Linked DNA regions of Ovis aries. The protein of the gene in region 4 purifies or fractionates together with the protein of the main gene of each other region. This does not show direct contact. Links are inferred from orthologs where the notes say so. Each region holds a gene or a part of one and is shown on either strand. Other genes may lie near its edges.

The links.
Region 1: the proteins of TOM1 (region 4) and ZFYVE16 purify together in Homo sapiens (affinity purification with western blotting; 3 studies listed by BioGRID and IntAct, with this or other methods). This does not show direct contact. The link is inferred for Ovis aries from reciprocal best matches to the Homo sapiens genes TOM1 and ZFYVE16.
Region 2: the proteins of TOM1 (region 4) and CLTC purify together in Homo sapiens (affinity purification with western blotting, with the first as the bait; 3 studies listed by BioGRID). This does not show direct contact. The link is inferred for Ovis aries from reciprocal best matches to the Homo sapiens genes TOM1 and CLTC.
Region 3: the proteins of TOM1 (region 4) and CUEDC1 purify together in Homo sapiens (co-immunoprecipitation; 3 studies listed by BioGRID and IntAct, with this or other methods). This does not show direct contact. The link is inferred for Ovis aries from reciprocal best matches to the Homo sapiens genes TOM1 and CUEDC1.

What each region holds. Positions count from the first base shown.
Region 1 is NC_056058.1:78,172,655-78,176,219, forward strand, and holds part of ZFYVE16 (zinc finger FYVE domain-containing protein 16), read left to right. Parts: intron 1-2,200; coding exon 2,201-2,356; intron 2,357-3,565.
Region 2 is NC_056064.1:10,332,151-10,335,715, forward strand, and holds part of CLTC (clathrin heavy chain 1), read left to right. Parts: intron 1-167; coding exon 168-310; intron 311-2,670; coding exon 2,671-2,905; intron 2,906-3,565. UniProt on the Homo sapiens protein: Clathrin is the major protein of the polyhedral coat of coated pits and vesicles. Two different adapter protein complexes link the clathrin lattice either to the plasma membrane or to the trans-Golgi network.
Region 3 is NC_056064.1:8,369,637-8,373,201, reverse strand, and holds part of CUEDC1 (CUE domain-containing protein 1), read left to right. Parts: intron 1-801; coding exon 802-928; intron 929-1,638; coding exon 1,639-1,831; intron 1,832-2,886; coding exon 2,887-2,967; intron 2,968-3,565.
Region 4 is NC_056056.1:179,160,761-179,165,057, reverse strand, and holds the start of TOM1 (target of Myb1 membrane trafficking protein), read right to left. Parts: upstream 2,862-4,297; 5' UTR 2,835-2,861; coding exon 2,783-2,834; intron 1-2,782.

The DNA.
Region 1 (3,565 bases), on a different chromosome or scaffold from region 4:
CATTCTTCGATGTTGCATTTCTTTGGGATTAGAATGAAAACTGACCTTTTCCAGTCCTGTGGCCACTGCTGAGTTTTCCAAATTTGCTGGCATATTGAGTACAGCACTTTCACAGCATCATCTTTTAGGGTTTGAAATATCTCAACTGGAATTCCATCACCTCCACTAGCTTTGTTCTTAGTGATGCTTCCTCAGGCCCACGTGACTTCGCATTCCAGGATATCTGGCTCTAGGTGAGTGATCACACCATTGTGATTATCTGGGTCATGAAGATCTTTTTTTGTGTAGTTCTTCTGTGTATTCTTGCCACCTCTTAATATCGTCTGCTTCTGTTGGGTCCATACTGTTTCTGTCCTTTATTGAACCCATCTTTGCATGAAATGTTCCCTTGGTAGCTCTAATTTTCTTGAAGAGATCTCTAGTCCTATTCTATTGTTTTCCTGTATTTCTTTGCAGTGATCACTGAGGAAGGCTTTCTTATCTCTCCTTGGTGTTCTTTGGAACTCTGCATTCAGATGCTTATATCTTTCCTTTTCTCCTTTGTCTTTTGCTGCTCTCCTTTTCTCAGGTATTTGTAAGGCCTCCTCAGACAACCATTTTGCCTTTTTGCATTTCTTTTTCTTGGGGATGGTCTTTATCACTGCCTCCTGTACAATGTCACAAACCTCGGTTCATAGTTCTTCAGGCACTCTGTCTGTCAGATCTAATCCCTTGAATCTGTTTGTCCCTTCCACTGTATAATCATAAGGGATTTTATTTAGGTCATACCTGAATGGTTTAGTGATTTTCCCTACTTTCTTCAATTTGGCAATAAGGGGTTCATGATCTGAGCCACAGTCAGCTCCCAGTCTTGTTTTTGCTGGCTGTATAGAGCTTCTCCATCTTTGGCTGCAAAGAATATAATCAGTCTGATTTCAGTTTTGACCATCTGGTGATGTCCATGTGTAGAGTTGTCTCTTGTGTTGTTTGAAGAGGGTGTTTGCTGTGACCAGTGTGTTCTCTTGGTGAAACTCTATTAAATCTATGTCCTGCTTCATTCCGCATTCCAAGGCCAAATTTGCTTGTTACTCCAGGTGTTTCTTGACTTCCTACTTTTGCATTCCAGTCCCCTCTAATGCAAAGGACATTTTTTATGGGTGTTAGTTCTAGGAGGTCTTGTAGGTTTTCATAGAACTGTTCAACTTCAGCTTCTTTAGCATTACTGCTCCAGTCATAGCCTTGGATTACCGGGATATTGAATGGTTTGCCTTGAAAACAAACAGATCATTCTGTCGTTTTTGAGATTGCATCCAAGTATTGCATTTTGGATTCTTTTGTTGACTATGATGGCGACTCCATTTCTTCTAAGGGATTCTTGCCCAGAGTAGTAGATGTAATGGTCATCTGAGTTAAATTCACCCATTTCAGTCCACTTCAGTTCACTGATTACTAAAATGTCAATGTTCACTCTTGCCGTCTCCTGTTTGACCACTTCCAGTTTGCCTTGATTCATGGACCTAGCATTCCAGGTTCCTTGCAATATTGCTCTGTATAGCATAGGACTTTACTTCTATCACCAGTCACATCTACAACTGGATGTTGCTTTTGCTTTGGCTCCGTCTCTTCTTTTCTTTCTGGAGTTATTTCTCCACTGATCTCCAGTAACGTATTGGGCACCTACAGACTGGGGGAGTTCCCGTGGACCACATTTTGTCAGACATCTCCACCATGACCTGTCCGTCTTGGGCAGCCCTAGAGGGCATGGCTTATAGTTTCATTAGACAAGGTAGACAAGGCTGTTGTCCATGTGATCAGATTGGTTAATTTTCTGTGATTGTGGTTTTCATTCTGTCTGGCTCTGGTGGAGAAGGATAAGAGGCTTATGCCAGCTTCCTGATGGGAGAGACTGAGGGGGAAACTGGATCTTGTTCTGAGGGTGGGGCCATGCTCAGTAAATCTTTAATCCAATTTTCTGTTGATGAGCAGAGCTGTGTTCCCTCCCTGTTATTTGACCTGAGGCCAAAACTATTGAAGTAATCTTACAGAGTTACACAAGCCATCTTACACAGTTCAGTTTAAGTTTTGTGAGAACATTGGGGAAATAAGGAGTTTGAAAAGTTGTACTTCATGCAAAGGACAATTAGAAGTTGACATTTTTAAAAAAAAATTAAAAAAAAAAAAAGAAGTTGACATTTATAGTTGTATGGTTTTGTCACTTAAGATTCCTCAGACAAATACTGGTACTTCTCAACCAATGGATTGCATGGCTTGGGACAGGCAGAAATTATTATTCTATTGTTATGTTTGCCAAATGAAGATACTATTCCTAAGGACATCTTCAGACTGTTCATCACCATTTATAAGGATGCTCTGAAAGGTACAGTATTTTATTTTTAACTGTTCAGACCAGGGGATGGATAAATGAGGGGCATTTTTGCTTTTAGCAGTGCTAACTGTACTAAAGGTTTATTTTATGAAGAGATTACTGATTACTTAAAAGAGCTTAGTCATCATTTTCAGTCTCCTTAAATCTAGCATTTTATGTAACTAGTGTCTTTATTGTTTTTTTTTTCTATTTTAAAAGGTAAAATATATTTACTTTCTTGATCTTTTTATGCGTCTACACAGTAGTCCCCCTTTATCTGCAGGGGATAAGTTCCAAGACCCCAGTGGCTGCCTAAAACTGGAAATGGTACTGAACCCTATTGTACTATTTTTCTGTAGTATATATATACTATATGAAAAATAGCATATATGTATATATACTATAAATATATATATATGTGTGCTGTGCTTAGTTGCTCAGTTGTGTCTGACTCTTTACGACCCTATGGACTGCAGCCTACCAGGCTCCTCTGTCCATGGAGATTGTCCAGGCAAGAATACTAGAGTGGGTTGTGATGCCTTCCTCCAGTGGATCTTCCCAACCCAGGGATCGAACTCAGGTCTTCTGTATTGCAGGCGGATTTTTTACTGTCTGAGCCACCAGAGACGTCCAAGAATACTGGAGTGGGTAGCCTATCCTGTCCCTTCACAGGAGGGCTTCCCGACCCAGGAATCGAACCAGGGACTCCTGCATTGCAGGCGGATTCTTTATCAGCTGAGCTACTGGGAAAGCCACACACACACCACACACATACTATTTTTTCATACATATCTATGATGAAGTTTAATTTATAAATTAGGCAGAGTAAGAGAACATCTGAATTGCCAGCATCACTTCTCTTGTGCCTTGGGGGCAATATTAAAAAAATAAGTGTTACCTGAACAGAAGCACAGTGACTGTTAACAGTTGATCTAATAACAGAGACTACTGCTGAGTGACTAATGGCCTGTAGCATATACAGTGTGAACATGCTGGGCAGATGACCGAAGGTGTGGTTCACATCCCAGTGGGGCAGAGCAAGATAGCAAGAGATTTATGTAATTTTCCAGTTAATATTTTTGGACCACAGTTGACCAGAGGTAACTTAAACCATAGAAAGGCTGTATAAGATTTGGGGAACATGATGACTTTTCACTTGACCTTGAAGTAAGGAGAAAAATTTAAAAACACCTATGGTTAGAAACATTCTCAAATTTCTGT
Region 2 (3,565 bases), on a different chromosome or scaffold from region 4:
TTCCTTTGTCTAGTGTCAAATTTAGAATCTGTTTATTACTGACTTTTAAAACAGGTTGAAGAGGAAAATGCGTTTTTCTTGCTTTTTGCTTTTTTTTTTTTAAGAACTCTTTTCAGTTTTGTTTCTTGGTAACATAATGCCATTCTTTTTTTTTTTTAAAACCATAGGTGAATCCAAGTCGACTGCCGGTGGTTATTGGGGGATTACTTGATGTTGATTGCTCTGAAGATGTCATTAAAAATTTGATTCTTGTTGTAAGAGGTCAATTCTCTACTGATGAGCTTGTTGCTGAAGTTGAAAAAAGAAACAGGTGTAGTACTATTTTAATATTCACAAGTAGGATAAATTATTAGTCTCTCCTAGCATTGTATTAAATAGAAGTATAACCTGTCCGTTGCCTAAAACTACTCAGTACTCATGGATCTTAATTCCCTAGAGATGCCTAATTTAGAAGTGATAAGCTAGCTGTAACTTGCTGTATACGGCTGTCATATAGAATATCTGTTAATCTAGTCATTCACCTTTTTTTGATTAATTAATTTTAATTGGAGGATAATTTCTTTACAATACTGTGGTGGTTTTTGCCATACATCGACATGAATCACCCATGGGTGCACATGTGAGTCCCCTTCCTGAACCCCCCTCCCAACTCCCTCCCCACCTTATCCCTCTGGGTTGTCCCAGAGCATCAGCTTTGAGTGCCCTGCTTCACGCCTTGAACTTGCACTGGTCATCTGTTTTACATACAGTAATACACATGCTTCAGTGCTTTTCTCTCAAGTCTTCCCACCCTTGCATTTTCCCACAGAGTCCAAAAGCCTGTTCCTTACATCTTGTGTCTCTTTTGCCACCTTGCATATAGCATCTTTACCGTCTTTACTGTATTGGTATTTCTCTTTCTGACTTACTTCACTCTGTATGATAGGCTCCAGTTTCATCTACCTCCTTAGAACTGACTCAGATGAATTCTTTTTTAGAGCTGAGTAGTATTCCATTGTGCATATGTACCACAGCTTCCTTATCCATTCATCTGCGTATGGACATCTAGGTGGCTTCCATGTCCTAGCTGTGGTAAACAGTGCTGCAGTGAACATTGGGGTACACGTGTCTCTTTCAGTTCTGGTTTCCTTGATGTGTATGCCCACCAGTGGGATGGCTGGGTCATACGGCAGTTCTGTTTCCACTTTTTTAATGAATCGCCACACTGTTCTCTGTAGTGGCTGTACCACTTGGCATTCCTACCAGCAGTGTAAGAGGGTTCCCTTTTCTCCACACCCTGTCCAGCATTCGTTGTTTGTAGACTTTTTGATGGCGGCCATTCTTATAAATGTGAGATGATGTCTCGCTATGGTTTTGATTTGCATTTCTCTAGTAATGAGTGTTCACCTTCTTTTTGCATGTTTATAATTACATTAAGTCAAACCACACAGCTATGTGTTTTTAATGTAAACTATGTAAAAAGCCTCCTTTTAGGTATGATACCTAGTAACTAATTACTCTCTGGTAAATAATCAAGTATGACAAGAGAAAAACATTCCCTGTATAACTCTGAGTTAAACTTATTTTTAAGTTGAACCTTGATATAATATGAGTTAGGAATTTCCAATAGAAGAGAACATAATATGAGTGCTTCTGATAGTTAGATCATGAAGTCTTTTTTTTAGCCAGGACATTGTGTGTTCACAAAGTGCTGACATAGTAAATGAGGTTAGTGAGAAGTAATGAGGTTAAGTAGGAAGTTCCTCTAGCAATGAAACCATCTCAAGAATAGGGTTTAATTTTAACCTGAGTTGGTACAAGTGTTCTACTAATGGAAATTTATAACATAATTTATATCTAAATGTTTCAAGCTAAATGTTTCAGAAAATGTTTGAAAAATTCTGCACTTAAGGACAATGGAGATGTAGAATATAATACTGAGTTTTATTTTTTTAAAGCTTGAGACTGATTTAAAGTGATTATTGTATAGTTGCTAAGTCGTATCCAACTCTTCTGTGACACCATGGACTATAGCCTACCAGGCGCCTCTTTCCGTGGATTTCTTGTAACTATTTAACATGTTATTTAAACCATGGTAAGAGTGTTGGTCATCTGAACCATTGGAAAATAAGCTATAACTTAGCAAAACCATGGCCCTTGGTGGAGTGATTGATTTTATGACTGCTAGAATTTTACCAGATTTTGTTCCCAGTTATGTGTTTACTTACGTTACTGCTTCTTTTTGCTGTATGTAATGTTGCATGGTAATTGTGGTAAAATTAAAAGGAACCGCAGATAATGTGGCTTGTTTTCTCATACCACATCTCTGTCCTACTCCTAAGCAATATTACTCAGAGGTCCAGCCATTTGCCCCATATGAAAAAGAATAATCTGTGAATCTGTAGTCTCTTCTCTCCATATCCTGTCTAGATAATGTAGCAGATAGGTCTGGGAGAGTATGAAGGACAGTCTTATATACCTTCTGTGTAACATTGGACAAATCCTTTAACCATCTCTGAGTCCTAATTTCTCAGTTTCTGATAGAAATGTTGAGAATTCAAAATAGGGTATGGGAAAGCACTTTATAGACCATAAGGTACATAGCATGTCAAGAGTGTGTTATTTATAATATAGTATATGTATATGTGGGTTTTTTTGTGTGTTTCTTTTCTTGTTTTATTTTTTTACTAGATTGAAACTGCTTCTGCCTTGGCTGGAGGCCAGAATTCATGAGGGCTGTGAAGAGCCTGCTACTCATAATGCATTAGCCAAAATCTACATAGACAGTAATAACAATCCAGAGCGGTTTCTTCGGGAAAATCCTTACTATGACAGTCGTGTTGTTGGAAAGTATTGTGAGAAGAGAGATCCGCATCTGGCCTGTGTTGCTTATGAGCGTGGCCAGTGTGATCTGGAGCTTATCAATGTGAGTACTGCCAGCTGACATATAGAGAAGACAGCATTTTTAAAACCTGTTACATAATGTTAGACTAGTGAATTTTGAGAGTTTCAGAGTGGTTTTAGGTAATATGGAGCATTTTTAGAAGGTACACGCTTTTTTTAAAAAAAACTGCTGATAATTATGAACTTAAACTGGCCAAAGTAGTTGATTACATTTATATTCACCCATTGACATTTACGCCCCGGTTTTATCGCGTATGTTCTCATACACTCATATGTACACATACATGTATATATTTTTTACATATACGTGTATATGTATAGGCACATCTAACCTTTTAACCTTATGAGAATAAGTTGCGTACCTCATGGCTTTATAACCCTTCAGTGAGTATTTCCTAGGAATAAGGGTATTCTCTTTCATGACCACATTATGGATAGCAACCTCAGTCAGTCTGATACTGGTAGAATACTGTTAAAAATCTGTTTCGTTCTGATTTTGTCAATTGACCTGAGAATGTTTTTTAAAAGAAAATTTTCCCTTTAGTCTAGGATTACATACTGCTTGTACGTGTCATATCTTTCATGTCTCTTTTAACCTGAAACACTTCTTCAGCCTTTGTCTTTTAGTGACAGACATAATTGGAAAAATAGTCTTTTTCTCTTTTTTTATTGAAGGTAACAT
Region 3 (3,565 bases), on a different chromosome or scaffold from region 4:
CTGCCTGAGGCCAGGAGAGCAGCCCCTGCCAGTCCCATCCTTAGTGTGACCTTCCAGCTGCCGGTCAAGGCAGCTTCGTGAGGGGCTCCCACACACCAGAGCAGGGTGGCAGTGGTTTGCAGGTGAGGGGAAAGCCCCACAGGGGATAGGTCTCCCCTGGGACCACCCACCAGGTCTGGAGCCTGGGTCTGCTTGCCCTCTAGAGACCCTGGTGTCTCCGTGTCTCCTGATTCCAGCAAACCAACACTGGGGAAGGCTGGGCTGTCAGCCACTCTAGGTGTCTCTTCCCTGGGAACACACCTATCACTCAGCACCCAGGAGCTTGTGTTATCCTGGATGCTAGAGACAGAAGGCTGAAGGGCTGTGACCCCTGCATCTGTGTCCACATCCACAGCACCCAACATGAGCTCTGCCAACGCAGGCCAGAGACCTTTTGTTTGTTTGGCCAAGACACGCATGGCGTCTCACCTCCCTGACTTGGGATTGAATCTGCACCCCGTGCGTTGGAAGGTGAAGTCATGGCGCCTGGACTGCCAGGGAAGCCCCTAGGCCCAGAGACTTTGCAGACACCGGGTGGCTGGAAGCAGTGAGTGTCTGGCGCAGTAGGCGTCCAGGCCCAGAGGTGAGGGCTCAGCCAAGGCCTGGCTGAAAGGGGAGCTAGGGGGCTGGGCCTCCGTGCTGGAGGCGGCTGGAAGCTTGGGCACGTGGGTGCCATTCTGAGCAGGATCCCAGGGTGGTGGGCCAGGACACCTGTGTGTGGGCCTGACTGTTCCCTCCTCATCCTCACCTGTCGCCCTCCAGCATCGACGTGCTGGGCTCCGTGCCCCCTTCCAGCCAGAGGCGCTACCGCAACTGGAACCCCCCACTGTTGGGCAACCTCCCCGAAGACTTTCTCCGCATCCTGCCCCAGCAGCTGGACAGCATACAGGTAATGGGGGTGCCCCCGCCCCCAGCCTGTGCAGCGTCTCTCTGTTCGCGCCAGTCACTGACCCTCCCTGACGTTTAAGCCCAGGCTAAGCTGCCCTGGGGTGGTACGGAAAGAAGGCTGAGCCAAAAGCCTCCTTCCCCATCGGGGCCTGTAAGGTTTCCCCTTCCGCTTAGGAAGGGGACCGCCCTGAGGATACTCTCTGGCAAATGGCATCACCCTAGGGTGGCAGGAGTTGGGCAGGGGCAGGGTGGGGGGTCACTCAGTGACAGAAAGGCAGAGCACCTTCCTTCCTTCCTTCCTTCCCCGGGGAGAGGGCCAGGGTGCTTCTCGCCAGAGGCTGGCCCTTGCAAGCAGTCTCCTCTGAGATGGCCAGGACAAGGAAAGTATGAGTATGGGGACTCTGAGCCATTTGAAGATCACTCTTCAGGACTATTCAGGTTTTGACGAAGGGCATGCTGGTGGGAAGGTCCAAGGTGTCAAGCTGGGGAGGTGGAGAGTAGTTCCTAAGCCCCTGATGCTTCCTCAGCACAGAGGGCTCTGGTCTGTTACGTTGAGTCTTGGCTAACAGCTCGCTCTGGGTGGAGGAGGTCCTGGCCTCAGGGCGTGGCTGCAGCATCCCGGGAAGGACGCTTGTACCCCCGGTGCGCATGGGTGTTGGTGCGGCGTGCGCCCTTGTGAGTAGGGGGTCCGTGTGCTTGCTCCCTGCTCAGGCCACCTCCAGGGGCTCCAAGCTCGCAAGCACGGAGGGAAGCCTGCCGCCCGTGGCGGGGCCTGAGCCCCGGGACCAGGAGAGCCGCTGGAAGCAGTACCTGGAGGACGAGAGGATCGCGCTCTTCCTGCAGAACGAGGAGTTCATGAAGGAGCTGCAGCGCAACCGGGACTTCCTGCTCGCCCTGGAGAGAGGTGGTGCCCTGGGCCAGGGCAGCCGGGCCGGGGCGAGGGGTGTCGGCCGTAGCCTGGGGCTCCGAGCCGGAGGTCTGAGTTGTCCAGGAGAAAGTATGAAAGCGTGAGTCGCTCAGTCATGTCGCTCTTTGCGACCGCATGGACTGTAGCCCACCAGGCTCCTCTGTCCATGGGATTCTCCAGGCAAGAGTACTGGAGTTGCCCTGCCCTCCTCCAGGAGATCTTCCCTACCCAGGGATGGAACCCACGTCTCTCATGTCTCCTGCACTGGCAGGCAGGTTCTTTACGCCTAGCGCTGCCTGGGAAGCAGAGTTCTGCTCACAGGGACCTGAGTCATCGGGACTTAGCGGGAGTGCGGGGCGCCCTCTGGGCTCTGCCCCTCCTTGCGCCCCCGCACTTCTGCTCTGTGCCAGGCGCTGGCGGCTGCCCTGTGCGACGGGAGCTCCAGCAGTAGAGGGACTGTGTGGCTGGGTGCCAGGGTGCGTTCCTCCCTGAGCCGAGGACGTTAGAGCAGGGCCTCTGGAGGGTTTGGGGGTGTTGGGGTTGTTTCTGGGCCAAGGATCCTACTCCTCCTAGCCTGGCTGCCTTCCCCCTTTAGAGTGGTAAGGTTTGGGGTGGCGCACAGTGAGGGGCCTGTGGGAGAGAGGTGTTGTGTGTACACGTGTGTGTGACTGGCAGTGTGTTTTGGTCAGGAACATGGTGTGCAGGGGAAAGTCTGGCCTGAGACAGAGGAGCCGAAGGCTGGTCCCAGCTCTGCAGTAAAGATGCTGGTGGGAGTCTCCAGGCCTTTCCTTTTAGATGAAGGGCTGGACACTCCAGTTTCTCAGGGGCCTGTTAATTTTGACATTCTCACCTTCCAGGCAGTGCTTTCTGTGTCTTTGAGAGTTCTGGTTCTTTGAGAGCCCATAGGTGTCGCGTGTGCACGTGTGTGTGTGTGTGTGTGTGTGTGTGTGTGTGTGTGTGTGTTTCTCAGGGTTTGGCCTCCAACCACCTCTCAGCTCAGGCGGCCCTGGGTGTGAGCTAGCTTCCCTGACCAGACTGTGGGCCTTTTCCAGATCGACTGAAATACGAGTCCCAGAAATCATCCAGCAGCGTGGCCGTGGGAAATGACTTTGACTTCCCCTCTCCTGTCCCAGGTAACCTTGCCTGAGAGAGAGAGAGAGAGAGAGAGAGAGAGAGAGAGGGGCCTGGAGGGTGTGGGGGGCTCACAGCCCAGGGGTGTCTGCATATTTGGAGTTTGGAGAGAGGGTGGGGAACAGGCTGCAGAGGATGGTTTTGCCCTATCAGCATATGCCCGAGAGGGGTGAGACGGGCCCTCCCCTCGGCAGCCCTGGTTCCTGCCAACCCAGCGGCTGATGAAGCCCTCACCTGGGGCAGGCCTGCAGACTCGCTCCACTCCTTAGAGGCACTTGGAGCCTGGGCAAGAAGGGGACACAGCACACCACATAATGTCCCATAGGGTGCCGGGGCTGGCAAGGGACTCAGAGACCCAGGCACTGCCCCAGGGGAGCTTATGGTCTTGTGGGGAGTGCAGGAGATGCCTCCAAGAAACAGGGAGCCCGAACCAGCAAAGCTGAGGACGCTTGTTAATTATAGCAAGCACATGCTGGGGGACAGGGAGGGTCCATCTGGGGAAGGTTCATTCATTCATTCGGTAGCTGGGGACTGTCTCCCCCAGGCCAGGCCCAGCCTTAGTATTGGAAGAAGAGAATTTTGAAAGTTTTATATACAAGA
Region 4 (4,297 bases):
GGGGAAACACACGCACAACTACTAACAGAATGCCACGGTGCTTTATTAGTGTGACGTCAGTGAAAATAATAAAAATGATGACGATGTATTCTGCAAACTAATAATGTGCCAGGCCCTCTCCAGAGAGCATCTCACTTCACTCTCACAACCACTCTGAGAAATGGATGCTGCCATAACCACCATTGCACCCAGGAAGCAGAGCCCAAAGGCAGACAGGGAGTGAGCCTGAGGAGCTAGGGTGATGGGAGGGCACAAAAACAACGGCTGGATTTGAAGGGGTCAGCGAAGGCCTCCTGGAGTAGGTGATGATGCCTGGAACTTTAAGGAGGCACTGGCAGCAGGCATTCCAGGCAGAGGGAGCAGCAAGCAGAAAGGGGTGTGAATGGGTGACTGGAAACTTTCTGAGTCGAGAGACACTGAGCTCTGATTTAGACCATCACGACCTACTGTGCTCAGTGCTGCCAACTGGACAGGGCTCTATGCTCAACCGGGGGATGAAGTCGGCAGGCTTGAGAAGAGATTATTTCAATCCTGCAGTTTATAGAAATGAAAGCAGCTCATACTAGGTCATTAGTAATTACAGCTGATCAGGGCTGTTGCTCCCCCACACCCCGGGGGTGAAGAAAAGGAATACTGAGGGTATTAACTCAAATAGCAGACATTATTCATTTAATAGTACTTTTAGAGCCTCTTCAGCTTTGGTTCAGATTTCACGGACTCAGAGGGGTTCTTCTCAGCTTTCTGACCACATCACTGGGGTCTTGGGTGAGTCCTATTTTCCACCTTCCCTCTCTTGGCCTCAGTCTCCAGTGTAGAATGAAGGGGATGGGCTACAATGGAGGTTTTCAATCTGGTGGCCACCTCAGGTCTACAGTCACAAACTCTGGGGGTGGGGCCCGGCCTTTGATGCTTTAACAAGTCTTCCAGGGGATTCTGATGATAGCCCTGGATTAGAAGAGCCCTAGGATAAGGACTGTTCCTGCAGTAAAACACGGTCTGTGCTCTAAGGGACTAAGAGTTTAGTAGCATGCTCTTTGGACTGAATATTTCTTGCCCAAGACAGGTAACCCTTCAGGGTAAGAAGAGAAGCTCTTTTGTTTGACTACCTCAAGCCTGGAGTCCCAAAGAGCTTTTCTAGAAAGACTCAGGCATATTTGGCTGCCTGTGAACCAGAATTTTTTTCTTTTTTGGGGGGTGGGTGTGTAGGAAGTCTCAAATTTGACATGTGATAAAAGCAGAGGTTTCTGCAGTTGGAGAAATACAGACAAGAGATGAACTGCCTTCTCTTTTCAGTCCCAAACAATGACTCATCAGTGTGTGTGTCTGTTTGTGTAGCAGGTGGGTGAGGGTCCTGAGAGAGCAGCTGCCCCTCTCAGATCCAGGAACTTCCTGGTGTGTAAATACTCTACTGACAGCATCCTCTTGAATACATTTGATTACAAAACCTCAAAAGAGCCACAAACAGCCACAGGCAGCGATTTCAACACAGAGCTGGGTTAACAGACTTAAGTGAGGTTTGACTTCTAAGGCACCAAGAATGAAAAGAATGTATTGTCTAAAAGATCCAGTTTTCCCAGTCTGGACTTAAGGCTAAAAATCATCAAAAAGATGGAGAGAGGCTTTCACAGTACTTCCCTCGATTTATTCAGGCGAGGAAGCACAACCAGACTGTTCTGGAGAAGTGTCCCGGCCATGGCCTGTGGGTCCTCTCTGAGTTGGTGGGCAGGAATGAGTGTCTGTGAGACCAACTGTCTAGCCATTCTCAGGATTTTGGAACCCGCACTTGGTGGTGTCTCAGTAACAATAAATATTACCACCTTCTTTTACAGAGCATCTGCCACGTGGAAGGCACTAAATCCTTCACACTTATGAACGAGTTTAACCTAAACAACCCCAAGGAGGCAGGGATCATTATTATCCCCTAATCACTGGGGAGGGATCCTCTCTACAGACAGCCAACGCCGCACCATTACTAAGCCTCCGCTCAACAGGTGCCAAGAGAGTCAGGAGCCTGGGCTCTTGAGTGAGCCTGTGTCTCGCCCAGAGGGCTTGGGCCTCCCATCTGCTGAGAAATGAGGGAGGCTGAAATCAGGTGGTTTCGAAGATCCTTTCCAGCTCCAAGTCTGCGACTCCACGCGGTCCATTCGGTGCCGGCTGGTGAGGCGGCTATGGCCGGCAGTTCCTGAGGATTTGGCCTGGCCTTCTCGTGGGGTGGGCTCCCTAGCGTCTAGCCCCGGCTTGGTGGAGGAAGGGCTCCCAGCCGCCTGCCCGCCAGGCCGCAAAGCCCCAGCCTCCTGGTCCTTGAGAATGGACTTCCAGCCCTTCTCAGGTATCCGTGTTCGCAACTCCAGACGAGCCAGGAAGGAAATGGCAAGAGCCCAGGTGGCGCAACCCGTGCGGGGGAGGCGATGACAGAAACCATCGAGGGACCCAAACACTGCAAAAACCACGCAGTCCCTTTAACCCCTAAAACTTTCTGCCTGGATTCGCGACCCCAGCAGCTGCACATTGGCTGAGCCGCGGCCGCCCGGGCCCGCCTCCCCTCTTTATTTATTGGCTTCCGTGGGCATCCATCACAATCCGAAGCTTCCTAGTGGACAGTGGCTTTTGTCAATCAAAGCAGGCGGGAGGCAGGGCGGGGCCGGGTCTGAGAGAGACACGCCAGCCTCACTCCCCTCCCTGCCTCCCTCTGGTGTGTGACTCGGGACCTGGAGGTACCCTGGGGGGCCGGGGTCGAATGCGGAGTGCTGCGCTGGGCCTGCGCGGGGCCCCGGAGACTCACCGATGCGCTGTCCCACCGGAGAGCTGAACGGGTTCCCCAGGAGAAAGTCCATCGCCACTGCTGCCGCTGCCTCCAAGCCGGGGATCAGCTGACAGCAACCGCCAGCGCCGCGGACCCGTCACGTGATGCGCTGGACCGTCCTCGAGGAGGCGCGGCTGGGGCGGGGCAGAGGCAGTCTGGAGCCTAGACGCAGGCCCCGCCTCGGACGTGGAGTGTCGGCTCCCTGAGGCGGAGGGCGATGACCTCACTGCGGTTAACTAGGCGTCGGCGGACGTCACGCAGTACGTAGGGCGACGAGGGGGCGTGGGTTTCGCTAAGCCACGCCCTCCACGCGTCCTGAAGGATTTAGGGGCGTGGCCTTTGAGCTCTTAACACCTGGAAAACCCAATCTTAGACCCGGGAAATGATTTGCGTGGGCTTCCCTTGTAGCTCAGTCAGTAAAGAATTTGCCTGCAGTGCAGGAGACCTGGGTTCGATCCTTGGGTTGGGAAGATCCCCTGGAGAAGGAAATGGCAACCCACTCCAGTATCCTTGTCTGGAAAATCTCATGGACAGAGGGACCTTGTGGACTGCTGTCCATGGGGGTCGAAAAGAGTCGGGCACGACTGAGCGACTAACATATAACATACATATGTAACGGTACCCAGCAAGCCGAGGCCAAAGCTCTAGCTCTCAGTCCGGTCCCCCGGGACCTCAGTATGACTACACATCCGCTGCTGGGGTTGATAGACTCTCTGGCTTGTTGTCTCCCTACCCAGAGAGGACGCTTCCTGTTTGAGGCTGAGGTCTTCTGGCTGCAAAATGCTTCATGTTTGCAGCCCAGATTCCCTTACCTCAAATAGGAGGCAAGGGCAAAGGCTTTTCGAGACCTTGACACTGAGAGACAACTCAATGAATTGCAGCTAGTGATGGGCTAGAGCTCAAGGTGGCAGAAAGCATACAAATGTTATGAGTGGGTCCTAGGACACATCTCTGCCATTCATTTACGGTGTGATTCAAACAGCAGGCTTCCATTTTCTCTGAATTCTGGAATTAGATCAAGGACTTCTAACCTTTATTTTCTTAGGTCACAGGATCCTTTGAGAAATTGTACAAAGCACTGGAGCATTTCTGAAGAAAAAAGGCAAGATAGAATTGTACCTCAGGGTGGTTCTGGGGTCCCTGAGGTACACCAGTGGACTCCAAGCTAAGAATCTCAAAGGCTTTCTTCAGCTTTGTAATTCAAATGTCTTCTTCCATGCTCCCGTGCGCCATGTTTCAGCTGTGTCACTTACTCATTAGATATCTTACCTATTGGTTATAGTTTTTTCCTTCTAATGGCATGCACTCCAAAAGATAAAATAACCACTGCTTTGGTAGTCTGAGCTACTGCAAGGTGCTTTAGTATCTATCGAACGTATTTGTGAATTTTTAATTCGAAAGGCTAGTACATTTCACAAATTTAGGATGATAGAAAACCTGAATTACAACTTTATCACTTCTGTATGTTAACTGAGCAGTCAATAGGGTAGAAGA